Linked DNA regions of Xenopus tropicalis. The main gene of each other region encodes a partner of the protein of the gene in region 3 in a complex. Links are inferred from orthologs where the notes say so. Each region holds a gene or a part of one and is shown on either strand. Other genes may lie near its edges. The genes, in order: arpc5l, arpc5 and actr2.

Region 1 (4,400 bases), on a different chromosome or scaffold from region 3:
GCTGTGCTGCATGAAAAATGTGAACTTTGAAGCAGAAAAACATTGAGGGCCAAGGGAGATTTAAACAGCTAGCAAAATCTCTCACCCTGTCCCCAGTTCAGATGCAGCCAGCGGGCAGCATGCTGCCACCAGATCCTTGGTGCCCTTGGCATGGCCCTTTGTGGCTTGCCCACAAATCCAGGCCTGAAAATAAGTAGCTGTGTAGCCACGGGGGCTGCCATTCGAGTTGAAACTGGGTTAGATGCCACAGATACAGAGCAAATCTGATATGCAATCTGTGCCTTTTCTTGTTTTCAAGCTAAATACCTACCCCCATAGCTACACAGCAGCTTATTTATTTAACAGTAGTAGAGTTTGTGAAGCAAACACACAAGTTTTACCAGTGCAGGGCAGCAGTACGTTATATATTTCAATACCTTCATCATTTTTTTTTTTTTAATGTTACTTTAAGAGAACCCACATCACCAACTTATTTCAAAGAAGTACCTTTTGCCTAAATTTTATAAGTAACATTAGAAAACTATCAATGGCCTGGCATTTGGACATTCTAAGCAGTATATTTCTCTGGCTTATGAATCAATCAACACCCTATAATGAATTTATTGTTGGAATTCACTTTCTGTCTGCGCTCACAGGCTGCCGACATGCCGGTCAGTCCACTAGTAAGAAGGAATGGATCCACTTGCATTGGCCTGTTCCCATTTTTACGCAGGTGGGGAAACAGCCCTGTGTATCACTAACCTAAGCCAGCACTAAGGAGACCTAAAAAAGTTAACTAAAATAGGGCTGTTTTTTTCCTCCAGGTTGATATATTTGATTTTCTCTGTTAAAATGTAATAATACAATTTAGATTCAGCGTTCTGCTATATTGTTAATGCAGGATTCAGCTGAATCTAAAAATGAAGGATTCAGTACATGCCTTTATTAAAATCAATTATAAATACCGCAACTACAGTCATACCTACAAGGTGTAGCTAAAATGGCCGATTGGATTTTTCTCTTCTAACAAACACAAGCCTTGGAGTTGTAACCATACATCCAGACTGCTCAGCCCCTAACTAGCACCACCATGTGTACAGCCATAATGTTTGCTAAAGAATGTAAGCAAAGTATCAATAAACCTGCAACACTGGATTGCATGGGGCCAGCAATTACCAGTCTTTCCCACTCACAATGATTGACCAGCCTCTTGTTCTGTCACAGCCTTTCATATCATTGCTTTTTATAACTGAATCTTTGTTATCAGCAAAGGATGAGTCAATGCATATTAAACTATGTACGTACCCCCAGCTGTTACCCACCACTCCCAGGACAAGGGAGGCACGAAGAGTGATACTGGCAAATGTGCAGAAACAACTGCTAGAGGCAGGGGCATAGCTGCAAGTTACTTAGCTCCACCGTAACATTTTTAGCTCCCACTCGCTTTAGGGTGAAGACACACAGAGCTACTAGTAGTAGCTACTTTTTCATGGCTACTTAACTCCAGAAAACACCCTGCCATAGACAATACTGAGACTTGCCTCTGCTAAAACGCACACATAGAGACAATTACAGGTATGGGACCCATTATCCAGAATGCTCATGACCTGGGGTTTTCCAGATAAGGGGTCTTTCCGTAATTTGGATCTCCATACCTTAAGTATGTTAATAAAATTATTTAAACATTAAATAAACCCAATAGGCTTGTTTTGCCTCTAATAAGAATTAATTGTATCTTAGTTGGGATCAAGTACAGGTACTGTTTTATTATTACAGAGAAAAGGGAATCATTTAACCATTAAATAAACCCAATAGGGCTGTTCTGCCCCCAATAACGGGTAATTATATCTTAGTTGGGATCAAGTACAGGTACTGTTTTATTATTACAGAGAAAAGGGAATCATTTAACCATTAAATAAACCCAATAGGGCTGTTCTGCCCCAATAAGGGGTAATTATATCTTAGTTGGGATCACGTACAGGTACTGTTTTATTATTACAGAGAAAAGGGAATCATTTAACCATTAAATAAACCCAATAGGGCTGTTCTGCCCCCAATAAGGGGTAATTATATCTTAGTTGGGATCAAGTACAAGGTACTGTATTATTATTACAGAGAAAAATGAAATAATTTTTTAAAATGTGAATTATTTGATCACAATGGAGTCTATGGGAGACGGCCTTTTGGTAATTCAGAACTTTATGGATAATGGGTTTCCGGATAAGGGGTCCGATACCTGTATCAGTAAATGATCAGCATTGTCTATTTGAGTAGCCATGACAAGTACTAGTAGCTACATGTGTCTTCACCCATAAGAAACATTTTTCATTAAAAAAATAATAAACTGTTTATCAGTCCCCCCCCCCCCCTGACAAGAGGGTTGCAGGTTAAGCATTCCAGTAATTACAGCATGAGCGATGGCCTAGGTGTGCAGTAATACAGTAAAAGGATATTGCCTGATCAGACTGTCCACCTCGGCCTCGTCGGGCCCCTGAGGCTCGGCCGGTTCCTCCTGCAGCTGATCGTCAACAAATTTGTTCTCGTCGTACTCGTCTATGTCCACCTTGCGGAAGCGCGACGACAGCGTGTTCTTGGCCATGTTAGGCTAGCCGGCCGGCTGCAGCACCCACAGGAAGGGGGTGTGACACCCTGATAGGGTGTGAGCGCAGGGAAGGTGACAGGAACCGACTGCCACTACAAACACTCAATGAGCCTGACAGCAAAACGCACCCCCTTCAAAAATGCGGCCACTGATCGCTAGGGGCTACAGTAAGGCTCAATGAATTCTCTCAATGAAGCTGTGTGACAGGAATTGGGGGCTGAGAGAGAGGAGGGAAGGGGGCGGAGGCCAATGAAAAGGGGGTGTTGAGGCGCTTACTCCCTGGCTAGGTCGGACGGCAGCTACTCAGGGTGGGGGTGACCAGGGAGGGAAGTGGCGACTGAGAGGGAAGGGGGCTTGGCCGCTGTCACGGACACTCGCTTCCAGTCCAGCCGGCTCCCTCCGCTTCCGGTGACTCCGGCAGGGCGGAGCGTGTAGCGGAAGCGGAATGGCGTCACTGACATGAACGCGTGAGAAGCGAGAAGCCAACATGGCGGCCTCTTGTTGCTTAGCAACTCCTCAGGCCGTCACCCCAGGGGCTTGGGGGACAGTAGTTAGGGGCATAGATGTCAACATTCGGAAAAGAAATAACTGTATGGAGGAGGCATGGTGCCTTAAACGAAATAAACTTACATTGTGCCACACTACTTGGGAATTGAAATGCGTGCTGTAGTCACACAAGGCAGATTTATATGTAGCCTTAAAGAAGGTACATCAGTGAATTGCTAATTGGATATTAAGGGTCAGGATTTTAAGATACAGAAAAAAGTAAACATATGCTCAGAAGTAATTCGTAAATCTCACCCATAGTATAGATGGGCCCAGGTGCTCATGCCCCAGACCTTCAGCTAGAGGGAGCCATCATGGGTATCTCACAAACATTGAGAGAAGACAAACAAATAAATAAGGTTGAGGAGACTGCCTCACGCAGACAAAAGCAAACAAAAGGAATTCTGGGAACAAATTCCAGACTCTTTAAAAAAATCCCATTTACATGGGTTTATCCTATAGGCTACAGCTCACCCACTGGGTTTGAAGCTGAAGCCAGGACAATAGCTGATCAGATTCCCAACTACAGACCGGTTTCACCCTTATTGGGGGCTCATCAGTGTAGTGCAGGGTTTTCTGATCAGCTTAGGTAGAGTCACCATGTGGTTCTACAAACAAATAAATAAGGTTGAGGAGACTGCCTCACACAGAGAGAAGACAGGCACTCTGGTAGTTCAGTGAAGAAAAGCGGTTGTCCACGAGAAAGTAAAGTAAAATCACAAAACTTTTATTGAGCTAACACATGATACGTGAACTACCAGAGTGCCTGCCTTCTCTCAATGTTTGTGATATAGTCAGGATTTTGAGACCAGTTTCAAAGGGGTCATCTTTACATGGAAGCTAGTTAGTGCCTGTGGGTGGTGAATTAGTAGGTCAGATTGTTGGCAATATTATATAAATCATTTTTTCAAGGGTGATATGGCATTGGCAATTGGACTATCCACTATATCAGAATGGCAGTAAATGACAGCGCCAAAAAAATACCATGATTTGGTCATTACTAGGTTTGTACTTTCCTGTTAATTTACCTGCCGATCATTACAAGTAATGCCCTAGAATGCTGACTAAAAGCTGCAATTATGAGAGTTGTTCTTGGACATATGAATTGCTTTCTGGCTCTTATGACCTCCATATTGTAATATTGATTATTATTTAACCTAGAAAAACGCACTCATATCTTAAACTGTGTGTGCATTGTAATTGTCTGCGAGCACTAGTATGGTGGCCAAACCAATTGTATCTAAACTCATTTTCCATTCTTGCCTTGTAAGCC
Region 2 (4,245 bases), on a different chromosome or scaffold from region 3:
GGAGTTTATTTAAAAGGTTTTGTCAATACATTAGCATTCTGACCAAACGTGACAGCTGTATAAAGAAGAGGCTGTGCTATCATTTATTCCTGTCCCTCTAGATTCAGTGACAACATTTTGTCAATCTGGACAGACCCTGCTTGGGTTTGTCCAACTATTTTGTTAAAGCCATATTTTAGTTTTGCCATAAAGAAGAAACTCGAAAAATCGGATTGGAAACGAACATTTTGCGATTTTTTCGTGAATTGTCGCAAATTGTTGCAACTTTTTCGTAGCCGTTACGACTTTCGCGAGTTGTCGCAACTTTTTCGTATTGAGCGCTTTCGTACTCGGCACGAGAGTACGATTTTTTCGCGACGGAAAAGTCGCGACGGCGACAAAAAAAATCTCAAAATACAGATCATTACAAATTAGTAAATTTGCCCCTAGGAGTTAAATCCTTGTGTACATGCTCCCTCACTGAACAAGTTTTGGGAGGGCATGAAGTGTGCTGTTAACAGTGTTCCAAAACTGCTCAGTTACTGCTACCACTCAAAAATATAGAATCAGATTTCATGGATAATTTTGTCCCTAACAACTGCTGCTAGGGGAGACCTACAGGGTCTGAAACATTTTTAGAAGAGGGATCAGCATTAAAAGGTATCTACTTATATGGGAAGGCACTGTATGCCTTTAAAGAATAAGTAAACCTTTTTTTTTTTTTTTTTAATCTAAATTTACTCTAAAATTACTCTGTTTAGCCCCCAGAATAACATACCTTTTTTCCCTGCATCCAGAATTACTTTGTCTCTCTATTACAAGCAGATGAGCTGCATCTCTTTTACCGGCTTCCTTGTCTAGTGTGAAGCCCCGCCCCTTTTGCTTTATGAGTCCCCCTTTCTCTCTCTCCGACTATGATGACCTAATAGAGGTGCCTACTCTGCATGCCTGATGTGTTTGTCAGCTCCATAGTACTTTGCTCACCTTCTCATGCCACTGCAACAAGACAGCACTGCTGTTGTCAGACGGACTCTCAAAGCCCTTGTAGATGTATTTCATTAAGAGGTCCATGTTATTTTTGTCTAAAGATTGAACAGCCTTTTCTATGTCATTAGCTTTAAAGGAGATTAGAACTTTCAGCACCAGGTGCTCAGCTCGATCCTAAGTAAAAAGCAATGATAAAGTCAATGTCCATACTCCAAAATTTAAAATAAAGAGTTAGAAAATTGTAAAACTGTATTGGAAAACTTGCTGGTATGACCAACTGAGTAGTGGCTGATTATTGGTACAGAATGCATTAAGTGCAGCAAAATAAGTTTGGCTGAAAGTAAGATATGAATATAATTTATAAAATAGTGTGGCAATAAAACTATTGGCAGGAGGAACAAAAAGCAAAGAGGAAGTAAGCACTGACTGATGTATATTCTGTACCCAATACGCCACTTTATAACTACCTTATTTATCCTTCAGCAAATAATAAGCAAATGAATAACAATTTGTTTCCTGTTGTATTTTACTAGAAGCATATTACCTTGGCAGACTGATTCTTGGTATTAATTGGTGGGTTCTTTAGAGCAGCTTGCAGAGCTCCCATCATGTTTCCTGTAGCAAGCTGTTAAGGGAATAACGTACTGACACAAAAGAAATGCCATACAATAATTACAGAACAATTTCAGTTGATGCTTTATATTCACAGATCCCTATATGGCCCTGGCCTAATATTAGCATAAATCTGAAAAAGCCTACTGTGCATATATATGGAAATATGGTCTGAATTGAAAATGTGTTAAAACTAATGAAAAAAATATAGATCTGGGACAAAAGTGTAAAAAAAGCCAACCAAGCAGAAGTTCCCATGCTTCCTGATGACTGAGACTGAGCCACTTCCTGCATTCCTAAACCTGAAGCAAGACCAAGCTTGCCTCACAAAAACATATAGCTTGTACTATAACACCACAACGACCAATAACTGCTACAGAACCATCAAGGTGTGTTTAACTGTGTGCTCAACCTGTGTGTAACTTGGCTCAAAGTCCACTATTGTATTATCCACCCTTGGAAACACCGATAAGAAAGCATGTAAATGTATGTGATTTCAAACAGAGAGAGAGTGAGAAAGAAAGTGTTTTTGTTTAGATAGACAGAGAAAAAGAAACAAAATGCACAGGATAAAGTGACTGACACTCCCACAGCCTCACAGCAAGTTCCTCTTTGTAGGAAAAGGAGATTAACTACTGACATTTCCTACACAGCAGAGCCTCTATATACGGTTTGCAAGTATTTTGCTTGCCATAGATCCTTTAGGTATGTAATATGGAGTCAGTGTGCAAACTGGAGTTGGTATGCACAGCTTCTGCATATCCACACATAGCAAATGACAAGGTGCATAGACAAAAGCAAATGTGTATTGACTCCAGTTTGAAAGCTTATTAGGCTACCATATCAGGACTATGCCAGTTTATTCTAGTAGATATTCCTGAAACCTTAGCTTGGAGATCAAACAAAGAGAAGGGTGTAGGGGGAAGTATAGGCTTTGCAAGATGAAGATGAGTACAAAGCATGACAGGAATAGTGGAAACAGTGGCAGTCAGCCCTCTCCATGTGACACCGCACACCTTCAGCATGTTAGCACTATGACACGGTACAGCCCATATGTCAGGCGATTAGGAGCATGTCTGTTCATACAAAGGTACAATGCCAGGCCCTGCCAGCACAGACAACATACAAGGATATCCCCGAATCGCGCTATCAACCTCCCCCTCGTCGGGTCCTTGCTGTCCTTCTCCCGCCTCCTCTTCGTCAACGAATTTGTTCTCATCATATTCATCCACATCTACTTTCCGGAAGCGTGCAGACACCGTATTCTTCGCCATCCCGAACCGGAGACTCTGTGCTGCTGGCAGGGAGCGGTCGTACTCAATGCGCAGGCGCAGCGGCTTCCGCTTTTATTCTCGGCTTCCGGAGACTGTCAGAGCGCTAGTTTTGCTGGTGTGGTTACCTCTGCCGGGATTAAGGCAGTATCAAAGCGTTCAGTCTATTCTGTGGGCTTTACCCAGGCGGGACACTCAGGCTGGGCCCGTGGGTAGTACATTTACCTGGGCGGTGGAGGTGTCAGGGGATAATCAGTTTGGTGTTTTCCAGTGACCTGACCTGTTGCATGGTAAAAAAAACTGTGGCATGGCTTGCTGGACTGCTTTTGTACAGAAAAAAAGGATTTTCTGGCAAAGTCCTCACCGTTTTGTGGGTTTCACGCAGTGCAGGACGGGTGTTTATATAAATCCAGACTAAATAAATAAAGTTAGGTATTGTAAGTGTATTGAGTGCATTTTGTGGAAGTCTGTGTTGCTGCATATGCTGATGGAATATGTGTATTTCCAATAGCATGTTTTATATAATATCCTGTGGTTGTCATCCCCTTAATTCAATGTTCCAATAGTTTATGTAATGGTACTATAGCAATGGCTTGTTGTCAGATCTTGTTATAATGTTAGTGTTTAATATAAAATAGTTTTTGCTTGTTCTACCCCCTCCCCCTTTTCCTTCTGAGCCTCCTCCATTCCTTGGGGCTGTTGCCTCGAGAGGAAACTTTGTCGATTTCAGCGCCGCGTATGGCATCCCACTGGCGATTTACATTCTAGCCGGTGGGATGGCATTTTGGGAAGATTAGTCGCCTGCACCAAGGTAGATTTGTCGCATGGCGACTAATCTCCCCGTCTGTCACAGCCCTTACGAAAGACGTGTAAATATAGAATTAAAAAAAAAAAGAATATCCTGTGGCAGACAATTATTGCCCCCCGGGTTGTGGACCCCTAACAAGTAACATAGTAAGTTAGGTTGAAAAAAGACATATGTCCATCAAGTTCAACCATAATGCCTATATATAACCTGCCTAACTGGTAGCTGATCCAGAGGAAGGCAAAAAAGTTTCCTGCCCAGTTCTCACAGGTGACATAAAACCTCAATATAGCGTCAAACAGTAATAAGAATGGGAACACAGGAGCAACTATGCCCTTCCATTGCCTGACAGGCTTTACTAGGCACACTTTCTTCTTTTTTTGTTGTTAAAAAGACAGATTCTAAAAGTCTTTCTGCATTTGGTTAATATGGTGATTTTATACACAGTAAATTGTCATTCTAGACACCATTTTCATGGATTTGGAGTACCGTTTAAAATCAGTCAATGTGAGTTTTTTTCTCATCATAAGCAACACTTTGGTGGTGTTCATAATGTCAAACTCATGTACAGGCAAAATGTTGCTACTTCAA
Region 3 (3,649 bases):
CCTTTATAACAGACAGCAGCCTGTACATTTATAGTTAAACATCCGGACCCAGGTCTTGTGTCAGATTGGATTCAGTGGTGGCACTCAGCGAATGGTTCCAGCCATTTGCAAGTGAATAACAGTGGGCGTGCAGCGATACAGAAGGTAGCACAACACACACATACTAAAAGCCCTCAGTGCGTTAGAGAGCAGTGCAACGAAACAAATCCTAGCAAGCTATCACCATACAATCAATGAATTATCCCCAAAAAACAAGCATTTATAAATAAAATCGCTCTCCCCAGCAACTGTCGCTTTGTGGAAAGGATAGACGTTAGCAGAGACGTGGGTTAGATAACCATTATATGTCATTTATTTTGTCTTGGGAACATTCCTCTTGGAAGAATCGCACTTGGCACTGTCTTACAGCAACAGCAAATTTATTCACTGCGCTTCTATAGAAACGAGCGCACAAAGGAAAACAATAAAACAAAAGAAATTCATAGATAGATAGGAATTCTCTAGATTTTGTTGGAATAATCACAAACACATTTGTAACTTTTTAACTGTTCTGATAATTTCTTGTCAATGAGCTTGTTCCCAGTGGAATGGGTCACCTGATCAAGTGCTTCATTAAAAGGCAAAAAGAAAAAAAGTCCAGCAATTCCCATGTTACATGGTGCTGTTTGCAGGGCTGGATGAGGCCCACAGCAAAGAAGGGGGGATAAAACCATTTAAATCAGGGCACCTCTGGCTGCTGAAGAACTACATCCCCACAAAACCCTGGCAGCCTTTAGCAGTTGGGTAAGTTCAACAGCAGCTGGAGGGCCACTGAGTTACTATATGTAAGTGATGCCTAACAATGATTATCACACAATATGGGCAAAGGACCTCCTTCACACTAATGCTGCGCCCTAACAACAGACATGACTGTGTAGAAGTGTACCTTCTAAGAATGAAACATGGAAACAAAAAAAATTAAAACAAAAATTTAGATTTTATAACTAAAGTGACAGAAAGCAGCAGAGGGATTTGTAAATTGTTGTACAAAATAAATCACAATTACCGATAACTGCTTAAAAAAAAAATCTAGATTTTTTTTTGTGTACGAGAAGGCTAATGTGGAAAAAAAGGAAAAAAAAAAAGGGTCCATCCCAAGGATATGGTATTAAAAGCTGCTTTTAAAGGATTCTCTTATAGAAACAAAAGGCAAACCACCCGGTGAGTAGAAGATAAAGCTAGCAGCCTTAGAGCAGTACACTAGATGGAAAAGCCTACTGTGATTGGCCAAATGTCTAACGAGAACGGACAATGTGGAGCAGTTAGGCTCTGTGGTTAGAGCTTTGTGTTTGTAAAGACACGGCATATTAAATAGTCAAACCGAGGTACATTAACAAACATGGAACAAAGCTCTCCTCAGGAAACAGGGCAAAAAAAACTCCCATCTTTAGGTCAAAAGGACACAGACAGGCCTTTCCAAGAAAGTCATGGAACTGAATGAGTTCAGAGATTGGCAATAAAGGAAACAAGGAAAGCTTTAGAGAAGCGATGGGAAATGGCAGTTGTGTTTATCGTACAGTCACACCAAGTTTCTCCAGAACACGCGTGCCTTTCTCTTGGTACTCTTGGCGCGTCATCCAGAAGTTGTCTTTGTCTTTCATGATGTCAGCTAATACTGCTCCACCCAAGAACACCATGTGCTTGCGGCGGGGAGGATCTTCAATGCGGATCTTAAATTTCTGGAATAAGGAGAAGAAAAAAAGATGAAGAAAAAACATGATATGCACTGAAACACAACCTAATTTTTGAGCATATAACTCTACACAAGTCAAAGTGGCATACATTCTGATGTTACTACAGTGTAATGGATTGGCTCAATCTAACAGCACCTGATTCATTCTGGTATCACAGTTTTGGGAGCTGTTCATAAGGCCAGTTAGTATGAGATTTGTGGCAAATGCCTAAATGTGGCCCAGGATACCCCTGAAGACAGCACTCAAAACTTAGTATTCACCCCCATAGCTCACTCTATACTAAGTATGCTAAATTTATCATACATTGATGTTTGCATCTGTGACCTTACAAGGAGCTATAGAGGGCCTTGGCCAAATGTTGGACCTTAAACATGAAGGCTTAATTGCTAACTAAATTGCTACATGCTCAGTCTCAATGCAATTTCATGTAAGACCTAGGGTGACTGCTTATTTGCTGTCCTTGATAAGTATGGGACAACAGAATGAGTGTTATTACTATTTTTTTCTATTGATCTGTAAGCCTAGGAGACCCTCATCAAATGTTGGTCAACTGAGGGGGTATAAACAAAATTTATGTTGTATCACCTATTGTTAAAATCATATGTTTCTCAAAATGGATGATATAAAGCTCTGTCAGCAGAGCATGGATGGGGAACACATACACTGGATTTCAGCCTACTGCCAAGCTCCCAGAGGCACCCACACTCCATATACTGAGCCGCCACAATGTACGGAACAATTACCAACAGGCAATGCAGTTTGTGGGTTGGATTTCTATCTAGAACACACATTTGGCTTTGAAATATGTTGTATGGCAATTCAGGATGCTGTGTTGATTTGGGAACAATCAGTACCAGGTTAAGATGAAGTTATAATTTGCTAAGCAAAACAAGCAACTTTAAGCCTACGTGCCACAGGTTGTAATGTGCAGCACAACACTCAGACTGTAAAACAGAAAGAAAGCACACCGCTTTTAACAAAATAATTTATTTTTTAAAGAAAACAAGAATTGAAAGCCTTACCGATAATTTTTCAACATCTCCTTTCAGGACTCGCTCCAGATAGAGCTGTTTCAGTTCTCGCTCTAAACGGGAGGGCAATCCTGGATACATTGTGGAGCCCCCTGACAGCACAATGTGCTTATAGAACTCTGGCCTGGAAACAAACAAAGGGACAGATGTCAGCATTTACTATGTACTGCAGAGGAGTGCAGGAGCAGAATAAAAACAATAATTCCATCCATAACAAACATCTATAGAAACATGCTGGGAGGTGAAAGATTTAACAGGTATGTGTTTTTAAATTCAATTGTCTTTAACAATTTTATCTTCTTTAACGTTGTTTGCCTTTTTTTGTTTTACCCGTTTCCATATTTAGTTCAAACACAGACACAGGAAGTTGCTCGTGCTGTTATTAGCGTCCGAGGAAAGCTGGGACATGAAACAGTATTCATACTGTAACAGCTCAAATTACATACCATATAAACAAAGGACGCCGTTTCTTTCTAAATGAGGCTGAATGGCCTGTATAATCTCATAGCATTTCACAGCTCTAGGTCAGAGACCCAAAATACAAGGTGGCACACCACTGAATGGGCTGTATTTGTCTGCATATACTACTCCACAGTATTCAAGGATTGGAACATTTGTTAACTACAGCTAATATCAAAAGGTGCTCATTAACGTCTCATTGTGCTGAACAGGAAGTTGTCTCTCACCTCCGAAAAGGGAAGATATTACTAGAACTAAGATGGTCAATTCCTTTATATTCCTGTATATAAACTCTGCCAATAATGCTTTCCATGCTGCTTCAACTACTACTTCAAGTGGATATACTGCTCCCTTAAAATTCATAAATTTAAGCGCACTTCATTTCTTTAATATTTGCTTGGCCCTCCCATTCATTAGAATACATGA

What was found.
Region 1: the proteins of actr2 (region 3) and arpc5l are in contact, whole or in part, in a cryo-EM structure (PDB 6YW6), measured with the Homo sapiens proteins. The link is inferred for Xenopus tropicalis from reciprocal best matches to the Homo sapiens genes ACTR2 and ARPC5L. Residues at the interface, in NP_005713.1 of Homo sapiens: Tyr225, Glu263, Phe266, Gln267, Arg319, Lys322, Gln323, Ser338; in NP_112240.1 of Homo sapiens: Arg11, Arg12, Val13, Asp14, Ile15, Asp16, Glu20.
Region 2: actr2 (region 3) and arpc5 share a complex: the UniProt entries of both Homo sapiens proteins name them as parts of the arp2/3 complex. The link is inferred for Xenopus tropicalis from reciprocal best matches to the Homo sapiens genes ACTR2 and ARPC5.

What each region holds. Positions count from the first base shown.
Region 1 is NC_030684.2:28,257,953-28,262,352, forward strand, and holds the start of arpc5l (actin-related protein 2/3 complex subunit 5-like protein), read right to left. Parts: upstream 2,913-4,400; 5' UTR 2,579-2,912; coding exon 2,433-2,578; intron 1-2,432. UniProt on the Homo sapiens protein: May function as component of the Arp2/3 complex which is involved in regulation of actin polymerization and together with an activating nucleation-promoting factor (NPF) mediates the formation of branched actin networks.
Region 2 is NC_030680.2:99,903,104-99,907,348, reverse strand, and holds the start of arpc5 (actin-related protein 2/3 complex subunit 5), read right to left. Parts: upstream 2,880-4,245; 5' UTR 2,853-2,879; coding exon 2,713-2,852; intron 1,584-2,712; coding exon 1,511-1,583; intron 1,141-1,510; coding exon 964-1,140; intron 1-963. UniProt on the Homo sapiens protein: Component of the Arp2/3 complex, a multiprotein complex that mediates actin polymerization upon stimulation by nucleation-promoting factor (NPF).
Region 3 is NC_030681.2:31,960,060-31,963,708, forward strand, and holds the end of actr2 (actin-related protein 2), read right to left. Parts: intron 2,889-3,649; coding exon 2,756-2,888; intron 1,719-2,755; coding exon 1,548-1,718; 3' UTR 330-1,547; downstream 1-329. UniProt on the Homo sapiens protein: ATP-binding component of the Arp2/3 complex, a multiprotein complex that mediates actin polymerization upon stimulation by nucleation-promoting factor (NPF).